Linked DNA regions of Rattus norvegicus. The protein of the gene in region 1 purifies or fractionates together with the protein of each later gene. This does not show direct contact. Links are inferred from orthologs where the notes say so. Each region holds a gene or a part of one and is shown in the gene's direction. Other genes may lie near its edges.

What was found. The genes of interacting proteins can lie anywhere in the genome.
Region 2: the proteins of Pcna (region 1) and Cul4a purify together in Homo sapiens (affinity purification with western blotting; 4 studies listed by BioGRID, with this or other methods). This does not show direct contact. The link is inferred for Rattus norvegicus from reciprocal best matches to the Homo sapiens genes PCNA and CUL4A.

What each region holds. Positions count from the first base shown.
Region 1 is NC_086021.1:139,952,887-139,957,019, reverse strand, and holds the start of Pcna (proliferating cell nuclear antigen), read left to right. Parts: upstream 1-1,199; 5' UTR 1,200-1,261; coding exon 1,262-1,482; intron 1,483-2,288; coding exon 2,289-2,386; intron 2,387-2,531; coding exon 2,532-2,599; intron 2,600-2,832; coding exon 2,833-3,027; intron 3,028-4,133. UniProt on the Homo sapiens protein: Auxiliary protein of DNA polymerase delta and epsilon, is involved in the control of eukaryotic DNA replication by increasing the polymerase's processibility during elongation of the leading strand.
Region 2 is NC_086034.1:83,090,165-83,093,576, reverse strand, and holds part of Cul4a (cullin-4A), read left to right. Parts: intron 1-1,954; coding exon 1,955-2,060; intron 2,061-2,429; coding exon 2,430-2,602; intron 2,603-3,412. UniProt on the Homo sapiens protein: Core component of multiple cullin-RING-based E3 ubiquitin-protein ligase complexes which mediate the ubiquitination of target proteins. As a scaffold protein may contribute to catalysis through positioning of the substrate and the ubiquitin-conjugating enzyme.

The sequences.
Region 1 (4,133 bases):
AAACCATTCCTTTTTCCCCCTTCGTGTCAGTCTTGGTAGATAGTCCAAGCTGAGTTTAAATCTAGGCCCTCCCACCTCAGCCTTCCCATGTGCTGGAATTAGCTGTAAAACACTCTTACCAGCTAAAACAATCCTTTTAACTTTCTGAAATTTTATATGTCTTATTAGTAAAAAAAAAAATGCAAATAAATAAAACATCACACACCAAAAGTTGTGTCTACAGTTAGAAGAGGCATTCCAAATGGAAGCTGGAAGTTTTACACTTCCACTATCAAATATATTTTATCTACCACCAAAACCAAGAGAAAAAGCATTAGAAATAGAAATCATTTATATCCTTTTGTAAATGATGCCCATTACCTACATTCAGTTCTTCTCCATCCTCATAATCAATAGGAAAAAGAAGTTTTAGTAGAACAAAATGCTGCAGCCCAGGGACATATGAAAGACGCTTCACCTGCAACAGCTAATATTTTCAAGATGGGGCTCAGGCTTGGGTTCATCTTAAGCCTAAAACTAAGATGAAAATACTAATATCTACCTTTAAAAATATAAAAGAAACCAACCATACAGGAAACTAATTACGTGGTACACATGAACTATATATCTTTGCAGAAGCGTTCGCGTTAAGAGGCATTTTTTTTTTTAAATCTTTAGGGAGGAAAGTTCAGAGCGAAGCACCCAGGTAAGTGTTATGAAATTGGGGAGTGTTCAGATAAGATGGCCTCTTTATTACTCAATATTTTGCGGCATATTTTTTACGCAGTAGTAAAAGAAACGCACTCCACTGTGTTTGAAGGAACTACAGTCTCCCTCTTCAAGGCAGGCCGCCGCGCACTGCAAGTGGCTTTCATTTCCGTGGCGCAGAAACTTCCTAAGGAACATGGAAACCACAGCCTAAGCTCCCTCCAACACCGGCGGTGACGACAGCCTACGCGAACCCCGTGATGCCCCTCGCCTCCCACGCTCTTACCGCACAGCTCCGCCTCTGTATACGCGGCGGGGCGGGCCTTGCTCAAACCACGGATACGATTGGTTCTAGAGGAGAGGTGGGTGGGTCAGCGCTGTGACGCCACAACCTCGCGCACTGAAAGAGCGCGCGCCTAGGAAGCCGCGGCATTAGACGGTTGCGGGCGCAGGTGACTGGTTATCGTCCCTCCTGGTCTTCACGCTACTTCTGCATCGTGAGTCGGGGTACCTTGTCAGCAAGACCTCGCTCCCCTTACAGTAACTCTCATCTAGACGTCGCAACTCCGCCACCATGTTTGAGGCACGCCTGATCCAGGGCTCCATCCTGAAGAAGGTGCTGGAGGCCCTCAAAGACCTCATCAATGAGGCCTGCTGGGACATCAGTTCGGGCGGCGTGAACCTACAGAGCATGGATTCGTCTCACGTCTCCTTAGTGCAGCTTACTCTGCGCTCCGAAGGCTTCGACACATACCGCTGCGATCGCAACCTGGCCATGGGCGTGAACCTCACCAGGTGAGCGGGTGGCGGGAGCTGGGCCCCATCCCTCCCGCTTCGGCTCTTGGCGGGGCTGTGTTCCTGCACTCGCATTGGCTGGCATGGCCGTCCGCGCTTTCTGATTGGCCTGTGGTGCCGGGGACATCACCCACCAAAGCGCGCGGTTCCGAAAAGCCCGCGCTGGCTGTCGCGCCTACTTTTTTCCCGCGCCAAAGCCACAAAGCGGTAGTCAGCGGGAAAATGCGTGCTTCCGAGCTGCGCTCATTAAGTGCCTGCAGCTTTTTCTGGCCGATTTTAGCGCCTAATAAGCGAGTTCTGGTGAAAAAGGACTGTCGACTTAGAGTCTTAGAGTGACGATAGGCCTTTTCTTGACTTCTAGAATCTCACTGCGCGTCATGGATTTGCAGGAAAATCTCAGTTTTAGCTTTTAACTTTGCTACAACTACCTGTGTTAGTGCCTCCTGTATACATTTCAAGGACAATATGTGACTTATTTTGGTACAGATATATGGATTAGTGTCACTTGTATACATTTTGAAACATTTATGAAAAGGCCAGACGCGATAGGGCACACTCTCCAGTACGCTGAAAACCGAGGACACCCCACTAAAAAGGATGCGTTCTTGAATGTTGGCTTTTAGTGCATTTTACTAAATCGATTTTTAAGGATCACATATACCCGATAATTTGCTTAACCTCTGAGAGGGTTCGGGGTACCCTTATCCTCCCTAACAATTCTCCAATCATGAATGTGAAATATAAATTTAAAAATGTAAATGTGGAGACATGATGTTGATAAGCCCTGTGTCCTTTTTTTTTTCTAGCATGTCCAAAATTCTAAAATGTGCTGGTAATGAAGACATCATTACATTAAGGGCTGAAGATAATGCTGATACCTTAGCACTAGTATTTGAAGCACCAAGTAAGTTACACCCTTAAAACTCAGTTGCTACAGAAATTAAAGTGTGCTGTTTCTGTTTCTCACAATTAAAAACAACAGGGTTGTGGTAAATTTACAACATAGATATGAACATGTGCTTCAGTAACACTTGGATTTCTTTTGGTAGATCAAGAGAAAGTTTCAGACTATGAGATGAAGTTAATGGACTTAGACGTTGAGCAACTTGGAATCCCAGTAAGTATCTTGTTTCTGATGGTGTTTTACCAAGCTGTGATACCAGCTGATGCATGTTCTAAAGTGGAGTTGTGGTGTTTGCCATTTCACCAGACCACAACAGCCTAAACTTGATTGAGTTGTAAAGACATCAGAAGTCTTGTGTTCTGAGTTCTAGTTAAGGTGCTGAAACTTGAGAACATGAAGCTGAGTCTTCCTCTTTTCTAGACTGACCTTTAACCTTGCATTTACAGGAACAGGAGTACAGCTGCGTAGTAAAGATGCCATCTGGTGAATTTGCACGTATATGCCGGGACCTTAGCCATATTGGAGATGCTGTGGTGATCTCCTGTGCAAAGGACGGGGTGAAGTTTTCTGCGAGTGGGGAGCTTGGCAATGGGAACATTAAGTTGTCCCAGACAAGCAATGTTGATAAAGAAGAGGAAGCTGTAAGTAGCAAGAGGTGTCGTCCAGCTAACTGTGTCTGAAGCAGGATTGCCGGCTTAGCCATTAAGCCTTGACTTCTGTTTGTTTATTCATTCTTTCATTTTGAGATGGCATTCTGAGTAGACCAAGCTGGCTTGGAACTCAGATGATGCCACATAAGCTTTTACAGACAGGATTTGGAAAGCTAAGTGTACAACCTTTTGCTTCCTGGAAATACTCTTGACAAATCAGTGAGGATTAGCAAGTGAACGGAATGGTTGGGGGTGTAAAAGTCTTGGGATCATGTAGCTCCTCTAATAGCTTTTATGTGTTGTAGGTTCAGTTACTAGTTCATTTAATGGTGCAAAAGCAGACTGAGCAAAGTTAGGTTGTAATTTAGGCCTAGCTACAGGCAACAGGACTCAATACAATAATAAGAATATCCACAGTACCAAAGGAAATAAGACTTCATGCAACTCGGAAAGAGTTGCATTGAATACTCTGACATTTTATGTGCCTAGAGGAAGCTGGACATGGTGGCTCAAACCCATAACTGTGACACTCAAAGCAACAACAGGATGATTCTCAGTTTAAAGTCTACCTTGCAGAAAATGGATCTCAAAAAATGGGGAAGAAATTGGGATGGCAGGGGAAGATGCTTGGCAAGCCCTCATTCAAGCAGAACACACTAGTTCTCTTAATTCCTAAGTAGCCCTGACTCAAGGCTTTCTCAGGAATCAGATGTATATTTCATGGTTACACTTTTAAGTTTTGCTACCGAGCCTTAGCATCAAAGTCTGAACTAAGTGAGATTTCAGGGTTAATATGGTGAGATTCAGAGTGCTTACCACAAAGTATGTAAGGTAAATAGAAGGTGTTACTTTCTTGTCCTCTGCACAGACTTAAAGTAAATGTAAGTATAAGAATTAGAGCATAGATAGATATACACACAACTCAGAGAGCTAGTTCTTAACCTTACTCTGCTGAATTATGTCTACTTCCCTGTGAACTTCAGCTCCTCACTTCTCAAGACATTCAATCTATCAGTATTTGTCTGAAGTGCAAGCATTTCCACAACCAAAGAAATAACTTCAGTATCTACATATTCTTTATTTGAGAAGTTTAAAGA
Region 2 (3,412 bases), on another chromosome or scaffold:
ACACCCACGGGAAGCCAGGTGTGGGTGTCTGCAAGATGCCTCAGCTGGTAAAGTCACCGGGTGCCAAGCCTGACAGCCAGCGTCTGATTCCCCAAGACCCACATGGTAGGAGGAGGGAAACAACCCCCAGGTGTCCTCTGACCCCCATAAAACCTGCACATATAAATGAACAAATAAATACTATTACTTAAAAGTGTGGCAGTAGTCAGGCATGGCTGTGCTCACATCTAACCTGTGCAGTTGGGGTGCAAAGTCATGGGGTGATCATGGGACTTTCCCAGCCTCAGTGAAAAACAGTGAGAGACTATCTTGAGAGAAAAAGACAGAAAGCAACAGAATAAGATACCGAGCATCCTGCTCTGGCCTCTGTGCATGCACAGCAGCGCCCACTTACACACCACCCATGCAGTTGTTAAGAGAGCAGTAGGCATGAGAGGCAACCATAAAAGCCAGCCTGAAGCCCGGCGTGATGAAAGGATACTCTAGCTCTCGGCTGAACAGAACACAGTGAAGTGTGGCTGGGACCAAGATGCTGACGGATACTGGAGAGGACCAGCAAGCGCAGCTCCCAGGGACTTGAGCTGTGTAGTATCATCGAGAGTGGCTTATGGAAGTTTGACTGTGCAGGCCAAGCACCCTGGAACTAACCGCAGACAGTGCGATACAGACCGAGGCAGGTGCTGGTCCCACAAGAGCAGCAGCTCCCCTGCTGAGCTGTTGCAGCTCCCCGCCCCCCACACTTCTTTCTGTTAACTGTTTTATCTTCCCTCTGTTGTAAAGTGCCAAGCCAAAGAACAAGTTTTGTCATGTGTCCAGAAACCAAGAGGAGAATCTTTTAAGATCTCCACATGCTCTCTTTTAAAGCCACTTCAGTTAGAGATGGGCAGGAGTCCTTACTAAGACATTGTCTAAGATTCTCGGGTCTCAGTGCTCACCACAGAGCTGCTGCTCACCACAGAGCTGCTGCATCAGACACAGGCTGCACAAAGACACGAAGGAAGCATGTTACCAAGCAATGTGTGGGGAGGCCTCATGTTCACATCTGTGTTTAGTATATAAATTACGTATGAGCCATTATAATACATTCACCCATACATTGTATTACTCTGTAGGCACCACATACATTCTTCTGCAAGGTTGAGTTGTGCCACTTGTGTGTATCTGGCTGTAGTTAGGAGCTGACCTCTGCAGACAGCAGACAGCCCCTGAAATACATGAAATAGGACCAGGGTCCAGCAGGAGGCACCTGACACTGCTGCTCTCCCAAATCCCCTTCCTATCCTTTGCCTTCTCCTTACAGAACTGCTAGGTCTCGTGGTACTAACTGTGCACTGGGACATTCTAGATAAGAAAAGGGGACCATGGAACATCCCTGGCAGAGTCTGCCCTCAGAGCACACTGTACACTTGTTCTTCGTGTGAACAAAGCATTGGGAGCACTGAGGCCTTCCTTTCCCATGCTCTCACACAGACTCCCTGTGCTCCTCCTAAGCCTCTAGGGTTGCCACCCAGAGCCTCAGAAAGCCCTGTGTGATGGTGCATGTTCTTGAGCCCAGCACTCCAGAAACAGGGGGAAGGATAGAAAGTTCAAGGCCACCCTGGGATTCTACAGCAAGCCATTGTCTTAAAAACAGTAGCTGCAACAAACAGACAGGCCTGACATCTGGGAAGCAATGGTAATGTGCAAGGAGCCGATGGGACTCAGAGCCTGCATCCCCGGCCTCAGCCTCCCGCTGCTCACTTACAGGCCTGTGTTACCACGTCCAGCTCCAAGACAGGGCTTTACACATAATACCAGTAATCATCTCATTCTTTTATCAATAGCGTAATTTCTCTTCACGTGGTGGTGATTAGTTAGTTCTGAATCCCCTACAAAACCATGCACACAAAAGCATCCTGTTGTGACTTGTACCGTGAAGACGCTCAGCTTCTGTGCTGTCTCCGTTCTCTTAAAGGGGAAGAAGGAGTTCCAGGTGTCCCTGTTCCAGACGCTCGTGCTGCTCATGTTCAACGAGGGCGACGGGTTCAGCTTCGAAGAAATCAAAATGGCCACCGGCATAGGTAGGAAGGAAGACTCCTTATGATGTACCTTCGTTTGTTTGTTCGTTCGTTTGCTTTAGAAGCTGTGTCACCTTGGCTATCCTAGAACTCAGAGATCTACCTACTTCTGCCTCCAATTGCTGGGATTAAGGTGTGCACCCTCACACCTGGCACTTAAAACGACCATGTTGATTTAAAAGAGAGTATGAGCTGGAAGTATGGCTCCGTAGCAGATTGCTTGCCTGGCCTGCACAGGACCCTGGGTTCCATCCACAGCGCTAGGGGAAAAGCATTTTAAGAGAAGGCATGGACTCTGTGGCACATCCACGGTTTCTCTCCTGGCTGAGTCTCTTGTGTGTTCTCTGACGTCGTCTCCTTTGCCTCTCTCAGAGGACAGTGAGTTGCGAAGAACACTGCAGTCTCTCGCCTGTGGTAAAGCCCGGGTCCTGATTAAAAGTCCCAAAGGGAAGGAGGTGGAAGACGGAGATAAGTTCATCTTCAATGCAGACTTCAAACACAAGTTGTTCAGAATAAAGATCAATCAAATCCAGATGAAGGAAACCGTAAGTGCTAGCTAGCCTCTCCTCATACTCCTATGGTATCACCAAAGAGTCCTTAGCTGTTCTGGTACTGTCATGACCATTAGAGGTCAGAGCATACGTCTGAATCTAGGTCAAATGTAGAGTTTTGGAGTGTATTTTATGTATCTTTAATTGGTTTTATGTTATCAGTAGAAGTCAAAGTCAAGAAACCTGTTTGAAATCCTACCTTCCTATGTCAAATGCCCAAACAGAATTGGCACGTGGGATTTCCAGAGGTACGCCTGCTCTCTGTTGAGCCTTGGAAGGAGGAGGTCTACCACAGGCCCTACAGACTCCAGAGCCGGCTCTCAGTTTTCCAAAGCTAGACAAGCTTACAACCATAGCTGTCAGCCCTTCTGACCTAAAGCTGACACACACGGGTTCAGTGCCTTCTCATTCCTAGAAATGCTTGCTCCAGTCTGTGTAAGAGAAGGGCTCTTAAAACTATAGATGGGAGAACAAGTTTAATTACAGAGTGATGCCACGGGTCTCCCATCCCACAGACAGTGACTGTGTCACTCGTCCTGAGGTTTTCAGTCTGCTGCACAGGAAATAAACTCAAAATGCTCAATGATGTGTCTAAGGAGGCCAGTTAATAGCAATGGCTGCTCTTTCAGAAGACTTTGGTTCCCAGTATCCACATGGTGGTTCACAGCCATCCCATGCTGCTAGGAAGCCCTTGACACAGCATTCGTATAAGAAAATACAACCTTTAAGATCACTCTTCAAGTGCTAGTTGAGAGTTGTACACTGTGAAAAGTTAAGGGCATTCACGGGACAGTTACAGTGTAA